Saccharomyces cerevisiae S288C: one gene and its partners. Changing the gene in region 1 together with any one later gene gives a genetic interaction. Each region holds a gene or a part of one and is shown in the gene's direction. Other genes may lie near its edges.

Evidence for each region.
Region 2: of SFL1 (region 1) and FLO11, changing one suppresses a phenotype caused by changing the other (phenotypic suppression), as found in Saccharomyces cerevisiae (2 studies listed by BioGRID).
Region 3: mutations in SFL1 (region 1) and SUT2 together harm fitness more than expected from each alone (negative genetic interaction), as found in Saccharomyces cerevisiae (2 studies listed by BioGRID).
Region 4: mutations in SFL1 (region 1) and OPI1 together harm fitness more than expected from each alone (negative genetic interaction), as found in Saccharomyces cerevisiae (3 studies listed by BioGRID).

What each region holds. Positions count from the first base shown.
Region 1 is NC_001147.6:583,878-589,839, forward strand, and holds SFL1 (Sfl1p), read left to right. Parts: upstream 1-3,103; coding exon 3,104-5,404; downstream 5,405-5,962. Other genes in the region: RUP1 (Rup1p), read right to left, coding at 432-2,447. UniProt on the Saccharomyces cerevisiae protein: Involved in cell surface assembly and regulation of the gene related to flocculation (asexual cell aggregation). Mutations in SFL1 causes constitutive cell aggregation.
Region 2 is NC_001141.2:388,211-395,668, reverse strand, and holds FLO11 (Flo11p), read left to right. Parts: upstream 1-1,993; coding exon 1,994-6,097; downstream 6,098-7,458. Other genes in the region: YIR020C (uncharacterized protein), read left to right, coding at 1,112-1,414. UniProt on the Saccharomyces cerevisiae protein: Homophilic binding protein that enables kin discrimination in heterogeneous yeast populations by mediating homotypic cell-cell interactions during flocculation, a reversible and asexual process in which cells adhere to form aggregates (flocs).
Region 3 is NC_001148.4:574,199-578,595, forward strand, and holds SUT2 (Sut2p), read left to right. Parts: upstream 1-2,353; coding exon 2,354-3,160; downstream 3,161-4,397. Other genes in the region: HAA1 (Haa1p), read left to right, coding at 1-904; DNA-directed RNA polymerase I core subunit RPA135, read right to left, coding at 3,387-4,397. UniProt on the Saccharomyces cerevisiae protein: Putative transcription factor involved in the regulation of the activity of the cAMP/protein kinase A pathway. Involved in sterol uptake.
Region 4 is NC_001140.6:65,064-69,826, reverse strand, and holds OPI1 (transcriptional regulator OPI1), read left to right. Parts: upstream 1-2,370; coding exon 2,371-3,585; downstream 3,586-4,763. Other genes in the region: MCO14 (4a-hydroxytetrahydrobiopterin dehydratase), read right to left, coding at 1-119; APM2 (Apm2p), read left to right, coding at 279-2,096; AIM17 (Aim17p), read left to right, coding at 3,968-4,763. UniProt on the Saccharomyces cerevisiae protein: Negative regulator of the transcriptional complex INO2-INO4 in response to phospholipid precursor availability.

The sequences.
Region 1 (5,962 bases):
AGAACCGAAATTGAAAAAAAAGGTCGTAAAGTTGAAATGAATTGAAGTCAGAATTAAAATAGAAGGGGTATTGTTGCGGCTAAAGTAAAATAAAGAAAGGAGAAGTTAGAAAAAGCAACTCAATGATCTTGTGTTCGAGGCTATATTATAATAAGTTTAGGACTTGGCATTATTTCAGATCAAAAGTATAAAAATTAAAACTGTCCTTTATCTGTCAACCTTTTTATTTTTGTTTGATCCTTAGAGTCTAATTTATGTCCGTAAATAGAAGTTTTCGGATTGCGGGCGCAGTTAGCCTCCAAGCGGAGTTTCTATAGTATTGAAAACGTAAACTAGTAACATATATGCGGTTCAAAATTACTAGAGAAAATGAGATCATAGTTTAAAGAGACATACGTTATTTATCTGGCGGAAAGTGTATAGAAATCTATCTAATTATCAGAATCGATGTCATCGTCATTGTCATTATCGTTACCATTGTTAATATTGTTGGTGGCTTGTTCAGGATCTCCCATACCATCGAAAAATTGCGAACGCAATGTTTTTAATGAATTTTGGTCATCCTCAGCAAATTTTAAGCACCCGCTATTGCTTTTCAACGCTTCCGCGACTACTTCTTCCGTGGGAATTTTACCCTCTTCACAGTATATGAACATCAGCGGAGTTTCACTTGCGTACTTCGTGCCATGCTTGATGGCTTCTTGAACGACAGAAGGCGACGAACATTTTTTCACCTTGAATTCTGTTCCCAACGTATTACTTTGTATCCATGACCATGCACCGTTTCTGCTTCTGATAAAGTATGAATATGGCGATAGTGCTGCCATTGTGAGGATGTAGGGATTTTCGATCAGTCCCAATTGCTTTGCAGTGTTGATTATGTGTGTCTCTGGATGTGAAAGGTTCCATTCTCCATGCAGTTTGGACGCCAAGTCCTTATATTCCTCCATTTTAGCGGCTCTCGCAGAATTTAATGTATCTTTCAACGATGCGATCTGCTTTGCTGCTTCATTATTAGCATCGTCAGGAATTGTTTGTAGATACGCCAGCGTCGACTCTAGAATAGTGGATATGTTTTTGCCTTGGTAACTCTTTAACTCGTTGATCTCTTGAAGCAAGCATCTGGATCTGGTCCGCGCTTGCTTTCGTTTAGAAATAATATGTCTTATTAGTTGGTCTTTGCACTGTTTGGTGTAAAGCTGTGGGTAAAACTCAAGCGGTATATCCACGCCATTGGGTAGAGACACTGATTCTGTATTTGTTTCTAGTTCATTGAACAGGATTGTTAATACGGGTGCCACCTCCTTCAAAGTATTCTCCGGTTCCACATATCTCGCCTCTTCTTGCTCGCCACCACGAATCACGTCTTCTTCTTCTTCCTCTTCTTCGGGGTACAATAAAACGTTGAACATTTTATATAGATTAGAATCGTACTCTTCAGGAAGAAAATGAAACAAGGACAAAAACGTCTCCATTGGAGGTTCATTCTTGTTCGGAGTATGCAAAGCAGAAGATATAAAGAGACTTCTTGTTTCCCGGTCTCTGATCCCAGGACACATTTCCAAATCCACTGCCAATGATTTGATAAACGCTGGGAGCACCTCATAAAGATGCTCGGAATCGGCCAGCTTGGACCTCAATTGCGGTTCCAAGGACGACGTAAACACCTTGGCCGAAACAAAGGCTCTTTCACACTTTCGCGTGTTAACCACGGAGATGAGTTTTTGCAACTGCCAGAGCAGATGCGGTTGCAACCCTTCATTAGGTCCGCTGGCCAGCACGATCTCCGACGTAGTGGAACCATCTTCTGCCTCGCAATATGCAAGTCTGTATTTGGGCTCCGTAAACGATGAGCCCTTGAACCAGTCTGCCCTATAGTTCAAATCCTTAAAGTCCGGTTTCAAGAACACGTGTGGGAAATACACGGCCGTGAGCAACGCAAACAGCCCAAAATAGCTCTCAATTAGACTATTCAAGGGTAGCGGCAACACAACCGTAGGATCGCCCACGTTCGACTTGAACTCGTTGTGTTGTACTATACTATAAGAGGGGGGAGGAATGGATGTCTCCGATATAGAATAACGATCGTAGTTCTGAGCAGTAACCCTGCATCCGCTGGTGCTATTAGAACCGCTGCGTTCATCCGTGATGTCTTCATCGTCATCATAATCAACATCGACACCACTCACATCCGGCATATCAATGTCTTGGTCCCCGTTGTTCGGAACATCGCAGGGCTTGGTTCCAGCCACTATTTTGTTCTCAGAAATCCTAGGCTGACTGCCATCATTCTCCTCACCCATTTCCGCTTGCTCCGGCAGCTCGTTCGAAAAGATGAAGTTAACTGCTGCCTCCAAATTACCGCCAGTTCTTTGGAGGGCGTCCACAGCTACTTCGTGTGGAATACCCATTTCTAGCAGTGACTTTACAGCCTGATTATCCATCATCGTAGCTTACTTAACAAAAATCAATTACTTAAGATTCCTTTTACAGGTGACGACTCTCCTTTTCCGGCTTCTTCTCTTCTTTCCTCTACTCCGACAGGTCCTTAAGCCTTGTAGTGAGAAGTACCTTTCAACAATAGTATCTTTTACTTCCGTGCCGGGTCGCCCGGACATCACCCGCCCGGCACAGATGCCTTGGCAGCAAGCGCATCCATCGCTGCATCTCCGCCGGAAAAACAGATGTTCAGTACATGAAAAGACGTTTTTATTCGACATAAACTTTTTCAGCTAGCAAGAAGGATCTCTTTTTAAACACTCTATACAGGTGCACACAAAGGGTTGTTGAAACAGAAACACAAACGCACGGCGAAATAATATTATTTATTCGACTTACGAATTTTTCAAAGAAGTCGTACTGGTGTGAAGTGGAAAGTTTCAAAGATAGTTTGAAAAGCAGGGAAAAAAGAACATAGTGAACCTTCATCGCCACAGTGACAGGTTCAAGGAAAAAATTCACACACACACACATACGCATACGCACACAAAGCACTCAGCTCTATATACATAACAAAGAATATTGTAATTCGACACTATTTGGTACATTCAGAGGGTCCTAAGACAGCACAAATCAGTTATATAGAAAAAAAGAAGAAAAAATCATGAGTGAAGAGGAAACGGTCTCAGCCCCAGCTCCAGCTTCTACACCGGCCCCGGCTGGAACCGATGTAGGTAGTGGTGGAGCAGCAGCTGGAATAGCTAATGCTGGTGCTGAAGGCGGCGACGGTGCCGAGGATGTTAAGAAACATGGGTCGAAGATGCTAGTGGGGCCCAGGCCGCCACAAAATGCGATATTCATCCATAAGCTATACCAGATTCTGGAGGACGAATCGCTACACGACTTGATATGGTGGACCCCTTCGGGCTTATCCTTCATGATTAAGCCTGTGGAACGGTTTAGTAAGGCTTTGGCTACATATTTCAAGCATACTAATATCACGAGCTTTGTAAGACAGTTGAACATTTACGGCTTTCACAAGGTGTCGCATGATCATAGCAGCAACGACGCTAATAGTGGCGACGACGCCAATACTAATGATGACAGCAATACTCACGATGATAATAGTGGCAACAAAAACAGTAGTGGCGACGAAAATACCGGTGGCGGTGTCCAAGAAAAGGAGAAAAGTAACCCCACTAAAATCTGGGAATTTAAGCATAGTTCTGGTATTTTCAAGAAAGGTGACATTGAGGGACTCAAACACATTAAGAGAAGAGCTTCTTCCCGTAATAACTCCTCAATTAACAGTCGAAAGAATTCTAGTAATCAAAACTACGATATAGATTCCGGTGCAAGAGTAAGACCCTCTTCGATTCAAGACCCGTCCACCAGTTCCAATTCCTTTGGTAATTTCGTTCCGCAAATTCCGGGCGCCAATAACTCTATCCCCGAGTACTTTAATAACTCTCATGTAACTTACGAAAACGCAAACCATGCCCCGCTGGAATCCAATAACCCGGAAATGCAAGAGCAAAACAGACCTCCGAACTTTCAAGATGAAACACTGAAACATTTGAAAGAAATAAATTTTGATATGGTTAAGATTATAGAGTCTATGCAGCATTTCATATCTTTGCAACACAGTTTTTGTTCACAGAGTTTCACCTTCAAGAATGTGAGCAAGAAAAAATCGGAAAATATCGTGAAGGATCACCAAAAGCAACTTCAGGCATTCGAAAGCGATATGTTAACTTTCAAACAGCACGTCATGTCGAGGGCCCACCGTACAATAGATTCTCTTTGTGCTGTAAATGCTGCCGCTACCGCTGCCTCTGTCGCCCCTGCACCCGCGCCCACATCCACATCTGCATATGCACCCAAATCTCAGTATGAGATGATGGTTCCTCCAGGGAACCAGTATGTCCCGCAGAAATCTTCCTCGACCACGAACATCCCTTCGAGATTCAACACGGCTTCAGTGCCGCCCTCGCAACTTTTTGTACAATACCAACCGCAGTCGCAACAACATGTGACTTATGCGAAGCAACCGGCACATGTACCAAACTTTATCAATCAGCCGATACCCATCCAACAACTACCTCCACAATATGCAGACACTTTTAGCACTCCACAAATGATGCACAATCCTTTTGCCTCGAAAAATAACAACAAACCGGGCAACACGAAGAGGACCAATAGTGTTCTCATGGACCCGCTGACTCCCGCAGCGAGTGTTGGAGTTCAGGGTCCACTAAACTATCCTATCATGAATATTAATCCTTCTGTCCGTGACTACAACAAGCCTGTCCCTCAAAATATGGCTCCGAGTCCAATATATCCTATTAATGAACCAACAACGAGATTGTATTCTCAACCAAAAATGAGAAGTCTCGGGTCTACAAGCTCTTTGCCCAACGATAGAAGAAACAGTCCTCTGAAGCTGACACCGAGATCATCGTTGAATGAAGATAGTCTGTATCCCAAACCTAGAAACTCTCTCAAATCCAGTATTTCGGGCACGTCTTTATCCTCCTCTTTTACACTAGTTGCCAACAATCCAGCCCCAATTCGGTACTCTCAGCAGGGATTGCTTCGCTCATTAAACAAAGCTGCTAATTGTGCTCCAGATTCGGTAACTCCATTAGACTCGTCTGTCTTGACGGGCCCTCCTCCAAAAAACATGGACAATCTTCCTGCTGTTTCTTCAAATTTAATAAACTCCCCCATGAACGTCGAGCACAGCTCAAGCCTATCACAAGCAGAACCTGCACCACAAATAGAACTACCGCAGCCATCTTTGCCCACAACGAGCACCACTAAGAATACTGGCGAGGCTGACAATAGTAAGAGAAAAGGGAGCGGTGTTTATTCTTTACTGAATCAAGAGGATAGCAGCACGTCCAGTGCTGATCCTAAAACTGAAGATAAGGCCGCTCCGGCACTCAAAAAGGTTAAGATGTGATCTTTGCCTTTTTAATCTCTAGTTGTCTAAAAGTTCAAAGCACCTCACTGTATGTTTATTACCTTTGTTCCAATTACTTTTGTTTCAATTACTTTTGTTTCATTTCATTTTAGGTATCCCAACGGGTAATCATTGTTATTTATTTTATTCACTTTTTTTTCTTTTCCTCCTGATCCTTGTGATTATAACTATATTTTTACCAACTCCGGTAGTTGTTTTATTAAGTTTTCATCACACTAAATTGTATTTTCCACTTTCATTTCCACCTTCCTTTCCCCTACCTCCCTTCAATTCGTATCATAATACCGCCCGTTCTTTCTAGTATATCACAGAATAGCTACGGGGTATTGTCTCATAAACAGAAAAATGCACCTTTCGATAAACTTCCTGTACAATAATTCTATAAGTATATATGTATGTTTGCTATTAAACAACCATCACAAAAAGACACCTTATTCTTTATGGACGCCTTCAAGTTGTGCTCCTATTCTGTAGTTGTTGCACCATGCATGTTACCATCATAGCCGTCTAAGCGGGACTATTTCCTTTTGTTAACAC
Region 2 (7,458 bases), on another chromosome or scaffold:
TCGAGAGCCGAGCCATACACCTAAGGTGGACAGAAAGCTAAAATTCCAAAACAGAAAAATCTAACATCTTTGCTCCCTTACAAGTAGGAACGCTAGCGTATCAACCCATCTCCAGATTTGCCCAGCATTTCTGTAGAACACCCAATGCGAATGAAGACTAATGAATATTGTAAAGACAAAAAATAGGAAAAGTTTAATTAGTGATGGTTCTCACCACCCCAAAACGGTCACTTGCATGCATTGAGGACATGCACCTGCAGTACTTGTTTTTCTCGAATGTTTTTTACCATCTCTTTTTTCCTTATCTGAGCTGCTGACGCAGACGGACATTGTTTCATATTTCGAAAGCTGTGCGGGAAAACGGACCCTAACACGAATGTGAATGCGCTAATCGGTATTTCCACCACATGAAACCTGCTACTTTTTCAGTCCTCTTCGTATGCATTTCCCAAAATTCATTCGTAGCCTTGTCAACTTAGACTCAGTTCCACGGCGTGCAGGACGGGGTATTATGAATAAAAGGATCCACGGGTGAGATTTGTTTTATGTTTTAGGTATGGAGTTTTGTACCACAAAACTTTAGGAATACCGGATTGTGTGCCTACGCCAGCCCCAGAGTATGTTCTCACAGCTGTAATTCCTAGTGATCTTTTCCTGACTCCAATAGGAACGCCGGTAGGCAAATTAAACTTTCGCGGCAGGAAAAAAAAGGCTTTTTCTTTTTTGCCTTTCAGTTTCTCGGAATGTGGCATTACATAAGCATAATCCTTTTTGGGTGTGCCTGGAAAGTTCAAATTAAGGTTTTTTTCTTCTGTTTTCTTAACAAGAAAATGTCGCCCAAAGAGTTTCGGCCGTTATTTTCCTATCGAGTGGGTCCTTTTTGTCTTTAGTCCTTCTCTGGGGCTAGCGATCACTGCAAAATTAGGCTTTACTGGTACGAGTTAACTTTTTTTCTTTTTTTTGTCATCCTTTTCTTTGGGGCTAAGAATGGACTTCCCTTTTCTTTTTCTTTGTTGCGACAGTGGCTTCAAAGAACTGCTGATTGCTCAAGGCAATCAGTCCGAGCGTTTAGAAGGTGATTGTAGGCAGAAATTAACTTTGCGGTAAAAGAATGACATTCTTTCTTAAAAGAAAAATTAGCTTTTTTTTGTCAGGCATTGCACAAACTTTTTTATTTCTGCCTATACTCTTAAACAGATCAGTCATTCATGTTGTCTTTTTAACGGTCGTACTGGGACATCGCATACCTTGGGATTCCGTAATTAGGTGCAACAATACGGGCACAACTCATTCTGCGGTATCTTCACGGACAGAACTTCTATTGCCTATCGGTGGTGTGATTAACAATTGGAAGCGCAGAGCTTGGAATGGATTTTCAATTCAATGGATTTGGAGGTATTCGTTTGTTTACTAATATTTACTTTGAGGACATTGCCCAACCCTAAAAGTGCCTGCTCAAGAATAGAATAACATTATGATACGTTTTCTTGACCGCTGAGCAATTTAAAGCAACTATTAGGGTACGATTGTTTCTAGAGAAATGTGGGTCATCTTTTTAGGTCCGTTCTCTTCTGATGAGGTAACCTTTACAAAAATGTCATAGAGTTACCAATTGGGATTCAAGGCATCATCGCAATATACTTCGTTCTTTTACGGAGAAATTAAGCTCTTTCTACTTTGAATTAACTGTTAGACTTGTCTTATCTGAGGAATGTCCGTGTTCGAATTAAATAAAAAATTAGGGCAGTTTTATTTACCTTAACAAATATGTTCAAGCATTTACGTTACTGCGCTCTCTTCTAGTTCAAGAACGGATAACTCATAGACTTACCAGTACAAATTGTTGAAGGGTTCCCAATTGATAAAAAGGATCTCTTGCTTCCTAAAATAAACGTATAAAAAGCACCCTATTCATCAGTTATTATCCCTCGTCATGTTGTGGTTCTAATTAAAATATACTTTTGTAGGCCTCAAAAATCCATATACGCACACTATGCAAAGACCATTTCTACTCGCTTATTTGGTCCTTTCGCTTCTATTTAACTCGGCTTTGGGTTTTCCAACTGCACTAGTTCCAAGAGGATCCTCCGAAGGAACTAGCTGTAATTCTATCGTTAATGGCTGTCCCAACTTAGACTTCAATTGGCACATGGACCAGCAAAATATCATGCAGTATACTTTGGATGTGACTTCCGTTTCTTGGGTTCAAGACAACACATACCAAATCACTATTCATGTCAAAGGTAAAGAAAATATTGACCTGAAGTATCTATGGTCTTTGAAAATCATTGGTGTCACTGGTCCAAAAGGTACCGTCCAACTATACGGTTACAACGAAAATACCTATTTGATTGACAACCCAACTGATTTCACAGCCACTTTTGAAGTTTATGCCACACAAGATGTCAACAGCTGTCAGGTGTGGATGCCTAACTTCCAAATTCAATTCGAGTATTTGCAAGGTAGTGCCGCTCAATATGCAAGCTCCTGGCAATGGGGAACTACATCTTTTGATTTGTCTACTGGTTGTAACAACTATGACAATCAAGGCCACTCTCAAACGGATTTCCCAGGCTTCTATTGGAACATAGATTGTGACAATAATTGTGGCGGTACGAAGTCATCTACCACTACATCTAGCACTTCCGAGTCATCTACCACTACATCTAGCACTTCCGAGTCATCTACCACTACATCTAGCACTTCCGAGTCATCTACCACTACATCTAGCACTTCCGAGTCATCTACATCATCATCAACCACCGCTCCTGCTACACCAACCACTACCTCATGCACTAAGGAAAAGCCTACACCCCCAACCACTACCTCATGCACAAAGGAAAAGCCTACACCTCCTCATCACGACACCACTCCATGTACAAAGAAGAAAACTACCACATCTAAGACATGCACTAAGAAGACTACTACTCCAGTACCAACCCCATCAAGCTCTACTACTGAAAGTTCTTCTGCTCCAGTACCAACTCCATCCAGCTCTACTACTGAAAGCTCTTCTGCTCCAGTAACCAGCTCTACCACTGAAAGCTCTTCTGCTCCAGTACCAACCCCATCAAGCTCTACTACTGAAAGCTCTTCTGCTCCAGTAACCAGCTCTACCACTGAAAGCTCTTCTGCTCCAGTAACCAGCTCTACCACTGAAAGCTCTTCTGCTCCAGTACCAACTCCATCCAGCTCTACTACTGAAAGCTCTTCTGCTCCAGTAACCAGCTCTACCACTGAAAGCTCTTCTGCTCCAGTAACCAGCTCTACCACTGAAAGCTCTTCTGCTCCAGTAACCAGCTCTACCACTGAAAGCTCTTCTGCTCCAGTAACCAGCTCTACCACTGAAAGCTCTTCTGCTCCAGTACCAACTCCATCCAGCTCTACTACTGAAAGCTCTTCTGCTCCAGTAACCAGCTCTACCACTGAAAGCTCTTCTGCTCCAGTACCAACTCCATCCAGCTCTACTACTGAAAGCTCTTCTGCTCCAGTAACCAGCTCTACCACTGAAAGCTCTTCTGCTCCAGTACCAACTCCATCCAGCTCTACTACTGAAAGCTCTTCTGCTCCAGCTCCAACCCCATCAAGCTCCACCACTGAAAGCTCTTCTGCTCCAGTAACCAGCTCTACCACTGAAAGCTCTTCTGCTCCAGTACCAACTCCATCCAGCTCTACTACTGAAAGCTCTTCTACTCCAGTAACCAGCTCCACCACTGAAAGCTCTTCTGCTCCAGTGCCAACTCCATCAAGCTCTACTACTGAAAGCTCTTCTGCTCCAGTACCAACTCCATCAAGCTCTACTACTGAAAGCTCTTCTGCTCCAGCTCCAACCCCATCAAGCTCTACTACTGAAAGCTCTTCTGCTCCAGTAACCAGCTCTACCACTGAAAGCTCTTCTGCTCCAGTACCAACTCCATCCAGCTCTACTACTGAAAGCTCTTCTGCTCCAGTACCAACCCCATCCAGCTCTACTACTGAAAGCTCTTCTGCTCCAGTACCAACTCCATCCAGCTCTACTACTGAAAGCTCTTCTGCTCCAGTAACCAGCTCTACCACTGAAAGCTCTTCTGCTCCAGTAACCAGCTCTACCACTGAAAGCTCTTCTGCTCCAGTACCAACTCCATCCAGCTCTACTACTGAAAGCTCTTCTGCTCCAGTACCAACTCCATCCAGCTCTACTACTGAAAGCTCTTCTGCTCCAGTACCAACTCCATCCAGCTCTACTACTGAAAGCTCTTCTGCTCCAGTAACCAGCTCTACCACTGAAAGCTCTTCTGCTCCAGTACCAACTCCATCCAGCTCTACTACTGAAAGCTCTTCTGCTCCAGTGCCAACTCCATCCAGCTCTACTACCGAAAGCTCTTCTGCTCCAGTACCAACCCCATCAAGCTCTACTACTGAAAGCTCTGTAGCACCAGTACCAACCCCATCTTCCTCTAGCAACATCACTTCCTCCGCTCCATCTTCAACCCCATTCAGCTCTAGCACTGAAAGCTCTTCTGTTCCAGTACCAACCCCATCAAGCTCTACTACTGAAAGCTCTTCTGCTCCAGTATCCAGCTCCACCACTGAAAGCTCTGTAGCACCAGTACCAACCCCATCTTCCTCTAGCAACATCACTTCCTCCGCTCCATCTTCAATTCCATTCAGCTCTACTACTGAAAGCTTTTCTACTGGCACTACTGTCACTCCATCATCATCCAAATACCCTGGCAGTCAAACAGAAACCTCTGTTTCTTCTACAACCGAAACTACCATTGTTCCAACTAAAACTACGACTTCTGTCACTACACCATCAACAACCACTATTACCACTACGGTTTGCTCTACAGGAACAAACTCTGCCGGTGAAACTACCTCTGGATGCTCTCCAAAGACCGTTACAACTACTGTTCCAACTACAACTACGACTTCTGTCACTACATCATCAACAACCACTATTACTACTACAGTTTGCTCTACAGGAACAAACTCTGCCGGTGAAACTACCTCTGGATGCTCTCCAAAGACCATTACAACTACTGTTCCATGTTCAACCAGTCCAAGCGAAACCGCCTCGGAATCAACAACCACTTCACCTACCACACCTGTAACTACAGTTGTCTCAACCACCGTCGTTACTACTGAGTATTCTACTAGTACAAAACCAGGTGGTGAAATTACAACTACATTTGTCACCAAAAACATTCCAACCACTTACCTAACCACAATTGCTCCAACTCCATCAGTCACTACGGTTACCAATTTCACCCCAACCACTATTACTACTACGGTTTGCTCTACAGGTACAAACTCTGCCGGTGAAACTACCTCTGGATGCTCTCCAAAGACTGTCACAACCACTGTTCCTTGTTCAACTGGTACTGGCGAATACACTACTGAAGCTACCACCCTTGTTACAACAGCTGTCACAACCACCGTTGTTACCACTGAATCCTCTACGGGTACTAACTCCGCTGGTAAGACGACAACTGGTTACACAACAAAGTCTGTACCAACCACCTATGTAACCACTTTGGCTCCAAGTGCACCAGTAACTCCTGCCACTAATGCCGTACCAACTACAATAACCACTACTGAATGTTCTGCTGCTACAAACGCTGCCGGTGAAACTACATCTGTATGCTCTGCTAAGACTATCGTAAGTTCTGCAAGCGCAGGCGAAAACACTGCACCTTCGGCTACCACCCCTGTCACGACGGCTATTCCAACCACAGTTATTACCACTGAGTCATCTGTTGGTACTAACTCCGCTGGCGAAACAACAACTGGTTACACAACCAAGTCCATCCCAACCACTTACATAACCACTTTGATTCCAGGTTCAAATGGTGCCAAGAATTACGAAACTGTGGCCACAGCAACCAACCCTATTTCAATCAAGACTACATCCCAACTAGCTACAACAGCTTCTGCTTCTAGCGTGGCTCCCGTTGTCACATCTCCATCTCTAACTGGTCCACTACAATCTGCTTCTGGTTCTGCAGTCGCTACATACTCTGTTCCTTCTATCTCGAGTACTTACCAAGGTGCTGCTAATATCAAGGTTCTTGGAAACTTTATGTGGTTGCTACTCGCTCTTCCAGTTGTATTCTAATGATACAATTCCAACATGTTCGTTTCTTCATTACGATGTTTTCATTCTTAAATTAAGATATTATTTCGATACCCTCTTTACTTTCTTCCACCATTCTGTTTTCGCTGCCATAATTTTGTAAGGCAGAAAACTACCCGTAGAATACATATTCATTTACATATTTTTTAGTTCTTCAAAAATTATCTTTTACCTTTTTTTACTTTATTTTACCATTTTTCTTCTAGCCCTATTTTGACCATCTGATAGCTTATTCAAGAACAAGTACCGGTAGTATTGGCACCGCGCCACTTTTCCCTCTCGCTTTTTTTTTTTTTCTTTTTGCCAAGCGCCTGCACGTTCTTTTGTCTGGAGTCTTGGAAAATGATAACCACCAAAAATCATCCCACGGACGGCTTGAGTAAAAATGTTTTTCCGCGAGACGGAAAGAGACGTAACAACCTTACATTTTTCCTAAAAGATTAATAAACCTGATATTGCCTTGGCACAACTAATAATCTTCGACCAGGCTTTGATGAATAAGAGGATCTTTACAGGCACCTTTGCTCTTTGAACAAAGAATATTTCCTTCTTTCTATGTGAGTTTACTGGAGTAATGCTTATATTATTCGCGTCCCCCCACGCTAACCTTAATGTGCCTAGATATCATGGGTTATTTAATGACAAGTCCGCTAGTGTCATCAACCCACTCTGTCTTTCATTTAAGATTCGCGAGATAGAACGACATCTTCAATTTAAACTTTTTAGGTGACGTTTCTCTTCTTTATTTCCTAAACAGAGCACCGAGACTTACGATTTTGGCGGGCCAACCTTAAAAAAAAGCTAAAAAAGTTAAATTTTGACATGAAGTCTCGTTAGAAATTCTTGAGGACGATGTAGATTTCCACGATTGATCCTCTCTTCAGGGCCGATTGTCTTCGCTCAGAAAATTCCGGAGTAGAAAAAACAACGTTGCCTGTTCTGATTGACCAAGGCTTCTGTACGAAAAGGGGTCTTCCTTTTTCGTACAGAAGATATTACTAATTTCGGTCCGAAATTCTAGTGCTCTTCGGACTGTATTCACGAAAAAAAGCCTCTTTTTTCTGAGAATGAACAGAAAAAAGGATGCGGCAAGATCCGGTAAGAAAGAGGTAGTTCCCCGCGTGCACTAACTACCCCGGTATATTTTGCTTATGTAAGCATATTTAGATAATAAATAGATATAGAAGAAAAAAGGGGCCCGCCTTTTTATCTTAGAAGATCACAGAGTTCTTAGCAGTTGATTTTCACAGTATGGGGTCAAATTTCACATCAAAAATACCTTAAAGGGGAAATAATTCGAAACATCTTTCCTTCCTTTGTAATGCAGATGACATGAAGTAATC
Region 3 (4,397 bases), on another chromosome or scaffold:
ATCGTCGATTTCAACGCTTTCCCGTGCAAACTTATTATTGCAAGAAAAAATTGGTTCGCAAGAAAACTCTGTCAAACAAGAAAACTATTCGAAAAATCCTCAACTTCGTCATCAATTAACTTCCAGAAGTAGATCATTTATTCATCATCCGGCAAACGAGTATTTGAAGAATACTTTTGGAAATTCACATAGTAATGACATCGGAAAGGGAGTTGAAGTGCTATCTTTGACACCGAGTTTTATGGATATTCCCGAAAAAGAAAGAGAAACGGAAAGATCGCCATCATCCAATTACATTACTGACAGACCTTTCACTCGAAAACCTAGATCTTCTAGCATTGACGTAAACCATAGGTATCCACCTATGGCACCAACAACCGTAGCGACATCTCCCGGTGCATTGAACAATGCCGTAGCAAGCAATCTCGACGATCAACTGAGTTTAACATCACTAAACTCTCAGCCATCATCGATAGCAAATATGATGATGGACCCTTCAAACCTAGCTGAGCAAAGTTCTATTCATTCAGTTCCTCAGTCAATAAACTCTCCGAGAATGCCTAAAACTGGAAGTCGCCAAGACAAGAACATTCACACTAAGAAGGAAGAAAGAAATCCGCTAAATAACATACACGATCTGTCACAATTGGAAAATGTACCAGACGAGATGAACCAAATGTTCTCCCCACCATTAAAAAGTATGAATAGACCGGATGCCATAAGGGAAAATTCATCTAGTAGTAATTTCATAATCCAAGGAAATAGCATGATCTCTACGCCTTCCGGAAGGAATGACCTTCCAGATACCTCTCCAATGAGTAGTATTCAAACAGCGTCACCACCAAGTCAATTACTGACCGATCAAGGATTTGCGGATTTGGATAATTTCATGTCTTCGTTATGATAAATTTGCTTTTCGTCTCTTGCTTCTCTGTAACTGTAGTTTTCCTCCTCCCACATATATATATATATATACACTTTTATACACCTAATAATATCATCGGCATTATGATTGCTTATACATTTTCATAATCAATATTACTGTTCACCATTTGAATCACTGCAGAAATATGCACTGCGCCTTCTTTTTCTTTGCCTGAAGCACCCACACACAAGAACAGGAATGTGAATGGCCTCCCCATCTCACTTTTACTTAATAGTATTCTGACAATATAAGGTATCAGAGAGTAAGACCATTATTAGGCAAACAATAATCTTCAGAATTTTTAGTAGCGCATTCTCAACCTTTCTAGGTGCGTTTTTCTAATGAAATAGTATCGTTTTCCTTCCGCATTCCTTGCGTAGTTTGTTGTGTAAATATAGCAATAAGAAACCCTATAAATCATTATGATGTAACTCCCGATTCTTTTAAATAATTACATAAACTAGGAAGGCAAGTCCGAACACGCAGAGATGAGGTATTTGCACTCAATGACAAATCTAGGTTTAAACTACGGGGCTCCATACCTTATCTCTTCACTTATCAAAAGTAGGCAAAAGAAAAGAAAATAAATATAATTTCTTTTTCTGCAGGCAAGATTTTAAAAGAACTTGCGCGTCCTCTGTGCAATCTACCTGGGGAGTCTCGGGCTTTAACCGCTCCCCATTCTAAACTGCTTCCATTGACGTGTACTATACTGCTCACTTCTTGCTCTTCGAGCAACAAAATCTGTATTACGTTTCTTACACTAGTCGAGTGAAAGAGATAAGATACCCACTTTTACTTGCCGGGAGAATGGAAAAGAGAAAACGGAAGAAAGGGCTTAAATACATTTTCCTTTAATATGAACATCCTACTGTAAGATAAAAATTGGATGCTGATAATGGAAAGGAGACATGTACGGTATGTACGGCAAAACCTCGGCGGGTTTTCGCCGCTAGCTCATATATTCTTTCGTTAAATTTTAAAATTTCTTATTCTAAATCTTCTTTACATGTTTGGAAAGAATTTATTGGAGAGAAAAATCTAGACCTGCCAAGCCGATAAACGAATGCCTGCGAAGAAATAGTGTAAATATTACTCCTGAAGGTAGAGTCATCTAGGCGGAGACGAAAACAAAGTTTAGCTTTTCGTGAAATTGCCCATTTCATGTTTATCAACCACCAAAGGTTAAATGGAGGTTTGACAAAAGAAATTTTCTTGCTAAAGGTTAGCATTTTTTTTGGAATTTTTTTTCCTTCGACTGGCTGTAGTTGTCCTTCTATATTACGTACAACAAAAACTTTCTTGAATGAAGAATTAGTTCTATCATATAGACCATAAGAAAGAAAACGCACTTGGATAATTTTTAACAAAGAAGAGGGCAAACTGACGCTCACCAAGCTATTGGTTTGTTTGGATCAATCGTCAGATATGAAGCCGAACAATCGAACTTGTGATGTAATTACCAACAAAGATGAATCTCTTCCTGCACTTTTGCTGCCTGCACTGAACAGTTACACCTGTGACGATTCATTGCTAAAAGGACAAATTTCAAGCAATGGCAGATATCAACCATTCGGGTTTTCTGATTGCTCTTTACTGCCAAAGCGTTTAAACATTCAGGCAGGGCAAGGATCTATGCCAGTTTCTTCGATTCAATGTGCAGACCACAGTTATAGTAATTGGCAAAAAGAATCCGAAAAGACTAAGCTTCCCAAGCTTGGTTGCCCAACAGAGTACACTGAATACTATAAAACTGTTTCTTCCGGCGAAACAACCGATTCAGCGGTTGTTTCATCTATAGCAACGAACAGACTCAAAAGAAAACGTCAGAGGGACGGCCCAAGTTGTGACTCTTGTAGGATAAAGAAAATAAAATGCAATGCAACAATCATTATCTTTTTACAGGATAGGAACCTAATTTCATCAATTTCTTCAAATTTGCATTATACACTTTCCCAAGACGACATAAACCAGTTTCGAATGAAGTTTTTCAGGAAACTGCCTGACGTGATGGGCACATATGAAGTCATAAAACACCTTGATAAAATAGTCCTTTTCAAAGCCTGCACCTCTTGCAGTAGAAGAAACCAAAAAAATGGAAAGTGTCTTTTTTCGAGAGGATTTACAAAATCTGATATGAACGTATTTCCCAAGATAAATAGTAAACTTAAAGACAAAAGTATCTTCGAGATGACTGTCGATGATTATGTTGCCGCTGGCTTCCAAACCCTTTAGGTTTCATGCATGTAATTTCCTCCTATGTAAAATATAGGAATATTAATAAAACGCACCAATAATAAGTTAGATATTTTTCTGCAAGATATAAATTTGTTTACTCATACATATATATTCTATTGCGGGGCGCTCTTGTATAAGTAATTCAATAAAAAACCTCTATATGATACAATTGACCAAGCCTTCATTTACCATTCTATATCAATTTGGAAAGAAGGGTATTTCTCTATTTGGGCTCTACATTATAACGCAATCTTATACCCATTGCGGATAGCTCAGAGTCCAAGTACTTCAACACAAATGGTATGGCCACCGTAGTTGTTTCATTACCACCAACAAATTTGTTACCTTGTCCATCTTCCCAAATTTGAGAGTCGTCAATAAAAATTTTCTCTCCATCTTCTGATTTAGTCAATAGCTTCTTTGCATCTTCGAATCTCATGGAACAACGACGGCAACAAACGGTGGAAATCGAACCAATTCTTGGCACACTCTGTTGCGTGGTCAAAATAGAACCACACTCGCGACATACGGATGCCTGTGTGTAGTCTGATGAATTTAGCAGACGATCTTGTAATAGAAAAGATGTACCATGCCCAATCAAAGCATCTCTTTCCATTTCACCGACACGAATACCACCATGTCTCTTTCTACCTTTGACAGGCTGCATAGTCAAACTATTCACAGGACCAGTGGAACGAACTTGGAACTTGTCATTGACCATATGACGTAATCTTTGGTAGTAGACAACACCAACATAAATATCTGCCCTTAATTCTTCACCAGTAGCACCTGAGTACATTGGCTCATTACCATGGTAGTTGTAACCCGCCTTCGCTAGTTGCTCACCAAAGTAATCGGCTGGGGTATCGTCCTCGTTAAAGATCCAAGGTGTAGAGTCCTGTGCAATACCATGCAATGCCCCCGCTTTACCTGCTAAAGATTCGACGAACATACCAATGGTCATACGCGAAGGGAAAGCATGAGGGTTAATGATGATGTCTGGTTGGATACCTGTTTCGCTAAAAGGCATATCAATGGTTGGCCATTTTCTTGAACAAACACCTTTTTGACCGTGTCTAGAAGAAAATTTATCACCAATTTGAGGCGTTCTTCTAATACGATATTTTATGCTAACAGTTTGTAGTTCTTGGAACTTATTGGATTCATCACCGATTAAATTTACCTCTTCGATATATGCTGGTTCAGAGGAGTGATATGTCTTGATTTTGGTCTT
Region 4 (4,763 bases), on another chromosome or scaffold:
AAACATTTGGTCTTATTAGGGTCCCATTGAACTTCCCAACGGGTCAAGGGTTTTAGCTTCTCGAGTAGTTTGCCCCCTGTGAGTGCACTGGACGCGATTCTAACAATCTTGTTGTGCATTGTATTCTTACTTTGGTTTCTTTCTGCTTTTGGTAGGTTGTGTTTACTGTTTTATAACTGGAAGGGCTTAAATTCCAGATTGGAAAATTGAGAATGCCTTGGACAAAAAGCAAATAAAGGGACCCAAAAATAGTAAAGAGGAAATCAGGAAGGAAAGGCATGTCGTCAAGCCTTTTTATCCTGGATGAAAATCTGGAGCCATTGGTATCGAAGAATATTAGAGCACTACCGAATCTATCGTCGGTTCTTTCAAGTTTCAAACAATGTTATCATGACGGGTCGCCTCCAATTCTCTCCCAAAACGATTGGTTCTTTATACATTTGAAGAGAGACTTTCTGCATTTCGTTTCAGTGATACATACCACAGACAAACCAAATATAGACTTAATGACTATACTAGCCTTTTTGGAACAATTTTATCATCTTTTACAAAAATATTTTGAAATCGAGGTCTTAACTAAGAATGTCATACTGGACAACATCTTACTTGTCCTGGAGTTGATTGATGAATGTATAGACTTTGGTATCGTACAAGTGACGGATCCAAGTATCATCAAGGACTACATTCGTGTGAAGGTCAACGTACCAAGAGTTACAGTAGACAATGAGGAGTGGAGCCCTGGTGAAGAGAGCAGTAGTAGTAGCGGTAGCGATAGCGATAGCGAGTACAGCAATACTAATAAGAGGAAGGATAAGAAGAAGAAAAGGAAGAAGAAAAAGGGCACTAAAGGGAAAAGCGTGGGCAAAAGTAAATTAAAAAGTATAATGGTAAACAATAAAGAAAATAGGGGCATAAACGTGGTGGAAACTGTCAAGGAGACACTAAGGAACAAGAATGATACCGGTAAAGAAGCCGCTAATGACGAGCTCCCCAATGACGGTAATGATTTATACATCAATGGCGATATTGCGAAGACGATTATAATGCCCATATCATGGAGAACAAAGGGGATACATTACGCCAAAAACGAGTTCTTTCTTGATGTTATTGAACGTGTTCAGTACTTGATGGATTTTGAAAAAGGAGTGATTAGGAAAAATCTGATACATGGAGAGATTGTGTGCAGATGCTATTTATCAGGGATGCCCAAACTGAAAATATCCATAAACAAGATACTGAACAGGGACCCCCAGTTCATGTCGAATTCCAGCTTTCATCAGTGTGTTTCACTAGATTCCATAAACACTATTGAAAAAGATGAAGAAAAGAATAGTGACGATGATGCTGGTTTGCAGGCCGCCACAGATGCAAGAGAAATCGAATTTATACCGCCGGATGGCGAATTTGTTCTTTGCCAATACGAGTTGAAGAGACATGTAAAGGATGCGCCGATGGTGAGGTTGAAAGATTTTGAAATCAAACCTAAACTGAAGAAGTTTAAAATCCAAATTGTAACCAAAATTCAAACAAATTTTAAACCCACCAACTCAACGTCGAAGCTAAACGTGAGAATTCCCCTGACAAAAGTCTTCCAGGAATATAAAATAGACCTCAGCAAGCAAATTAGATTCAAGGCAAACATCGGCAAGGTCGTGTTTAACTTGAGTGACGATTTTCTCCTCTGGGAGATACAAACCATGAAGGGGCACCGAGAACATAGCACAAACAAGAGCTCACAGTACAACAGCGACGAAGATGATCCAAATACGTGTGCATCCATGGTGGCAGAGTTCCCCCTCTTCAACCAGGAAGAATATGACCGCCTGCAAGAAGAAATGAAAACCTCAATGAATCCGCCGCCCTTGCGCACGGGACCCAGGCTGGAAGAACTATATAGACAAGTGCACGACCAACAAACTTCCCACGTTACTCCTCGAGATAAGTTGGTCAACATTGATTTCGAGATTCCGTACTGTACATGCAGTGGCCTGAAAGTTGAGTACTTGAAGGTCGAAGAGCCACAATTGCAGTACCAGTCTTTCCCCTGGGTCAGATACAAGACCGTCAGCGACGAAGAGTACGCATATATTGTTTGACGCTTACGCAGACATCTCATAGATAGACAAATGGTACGTTCGTTTTAGTATATAGATGGCACCTTATAATCTTCATATGCAACCGGGTAAAATCGGGCGTTCTTATTTTTTTTTTTTCCACCTCAATGAGAGGGATTAATAAGAGGATTGGAGCAAGACAGCGATCTGCACTTAGCCAAGAAAGCATATCAGGCCAGAACGTGGCATTTTGTTTACAGTGCTGATTAAAGCGTGTGTATCAGGACAGTGTTTTTAACGAAGATACTAGTCATTGATGTCTGAAAATCAACGTTTAGGATTATCAGAGGAAGAGGTAGAAGCGGCTGAAGTACTTGGGGTGTTGAAACAATCATGCAGACAGAAGTCGCAGCCTTCAGAGGACGTCTCACAAGCTGACAAAATGCCGGCAAGTGAGTCGTCTACGACGCCGCTAAACATTTTGGATCGCGTAAGTAACAAAATTATCAGTAACGTAGTGACATTCTACGATGAAATAAACACCAACAAGAGGCCACTGAAATCAATAGGGAGGCTGCTAGACGATGACGATGACGAGCATGATGATTACGACTACAACGACGATGAGTTCTTCACCAACAAGAGACAGAAGCTGTCGCGGGCGATTGCCAAGGGGAAGGACAACTTGAAAGAGTACAAGCTGAACATGTCCATCGAGTCTAAGAAGAGGCTTGTAACGTGCTTGCATCTTTTAAAGCTGGCCAATAAGCAGCTTTCCGATAAAATCTCGTGTTTACAGGACCTTGTTGAAAAGGAGCAGGTGCATCCTTTGCACAAGCAAGATGGAAATGCTAGGACGACCACTGGAGCTGGCGAGGACGAGACATCGTCAGACGAAGACGACGACGATGAGGAGTTTTTTGATGCCTCAGAGCAGGTCAACGCCAGCGAGCAGTCTATTGTGGTGAAAATGGAGGTGGTCGGCACAGTCAAGAAAGTCTACTCGCTGATATCGAAGTTCACAGCAAATTCGCTGCCGGAGCCCGCAAGATCTCAGGTTCGGGAAAGTCTTCTAAACTTACCCACAAATTGGTTCGACAGCGTCCACAGTACATCACTGCCGCATCATGCTTCGTTTCATTATGCCAACTGTGAAGAACAAAAAGTGGAGCAACAGCAACAGCAACAGCAACAGCAGCAGCAGCAGCAACTTTTGCAGCAGCAACTCCTGCAACAGCAACAGCAAAAAAGGAACAAGGATGGCGACGACTCAGCCTCGCCGTCCTCCTCCGTAACTGCGAATGGGAAAGTACTCATTCTCGCCAAAGAATCCCTGGAAATGGTGAGAAATGTCATGGGCGTAGTCGACTCCACGTTGGGCAAGGCTGAAGAATGGGTGAAGCAGAAACAGGAGGTAAAAGAAATGATCAGGGAGCGTTTCTTGCAACAGCAGCAACAGTACAGGCAGCAACAGCAGAAGGATGGCAATTACGTAAAGCCCTCTCAGGACAACGTGGATAGCAAGGACTAACCGAGACAGATTGAGGTCTTTCATGCATTACCACCAGTAATAATATTATACGGAATAATATAGTTTATATAATATCCATAATCATAATCATAATCATAATCATAATCATAATCGTGATATTGTACCAGCCCCGCTTCTCCCCTTTTGAACTACCATTATTATCGGACCCTCTTTACCTTTGAATGGCTCAGTAAGGACCTTTGCGCAGCCGTAAGGGGGTCGGGAATACATTTCCGGGGTTGATCCTCGAGGAAAAGTGCTATCTATATAAGGAGAAGCCCTTCTAGATCCAAATATCAGGGGTAACTCTTCACAACTGGCCAGGAACATATTCCAAGTTAAAAAGAAAAAATAATTATTAGAAACCAATTACCAACACAAGATGCTAAGATCAAATTTATGCAGAGGATCTCGAATCCTTGCAAGACTGACCACTACACCAAGGACATACACATCTGCGGCGACAGCTGCGGCTGCGAATCGGGGACATATCATCAAAACATACTTCAATAGAGATTCTACGACAATTACGTTCTCCATGGAGGAGTCCAGCAAGCCGGTTTCCGTTTGCTTTAACAACGTTTTTCTTAGAGATGCCTCCCATAGTGCCAAGCTGGTGACCACGGGAGAACTGTATCATAACGAGAAATTGACCGCTCCTCAGGACATTCAAATTTCTGAGGACGGAAAATCTCTAGTGGTGAAATGGAAAGATGGCGGTCATCACCAGTTCCCTTTACAATTCTTTATCGACTATAAAGGTTCCAGTTTTGTTTCGCCAGCAACAAGAAAACAAGAATCCAGATATAGACCCCAGTTATGGAATAAGCGCATCCTGAAAGATAACGTCAAGGACTTACTTTCTGTGAGCTACAACGAGTTTATTGATCCTAAGGATGACTCCAAGCTTTTCCAAACGCTGGTCAACCTACAAAAGTTTGGTATCGCTTTCATTTCCGGTACTCCTTCATCCTCCTCTGAAGGCCTTACCATACAAAAGATCTGTGAAAGGATCGGACCCATAAGATCGACTGTACATGGTGAAGGTACATTTGACGTGAATGCATCCCAAGCGACAAGTGTTAATGCCCATTATGCCAATAAAGACTTGCCGCTACATACGGATTTACCATTTTTAGAAAATGTGCCAGGTTTCCAGATTCTACAATCTCTACCTG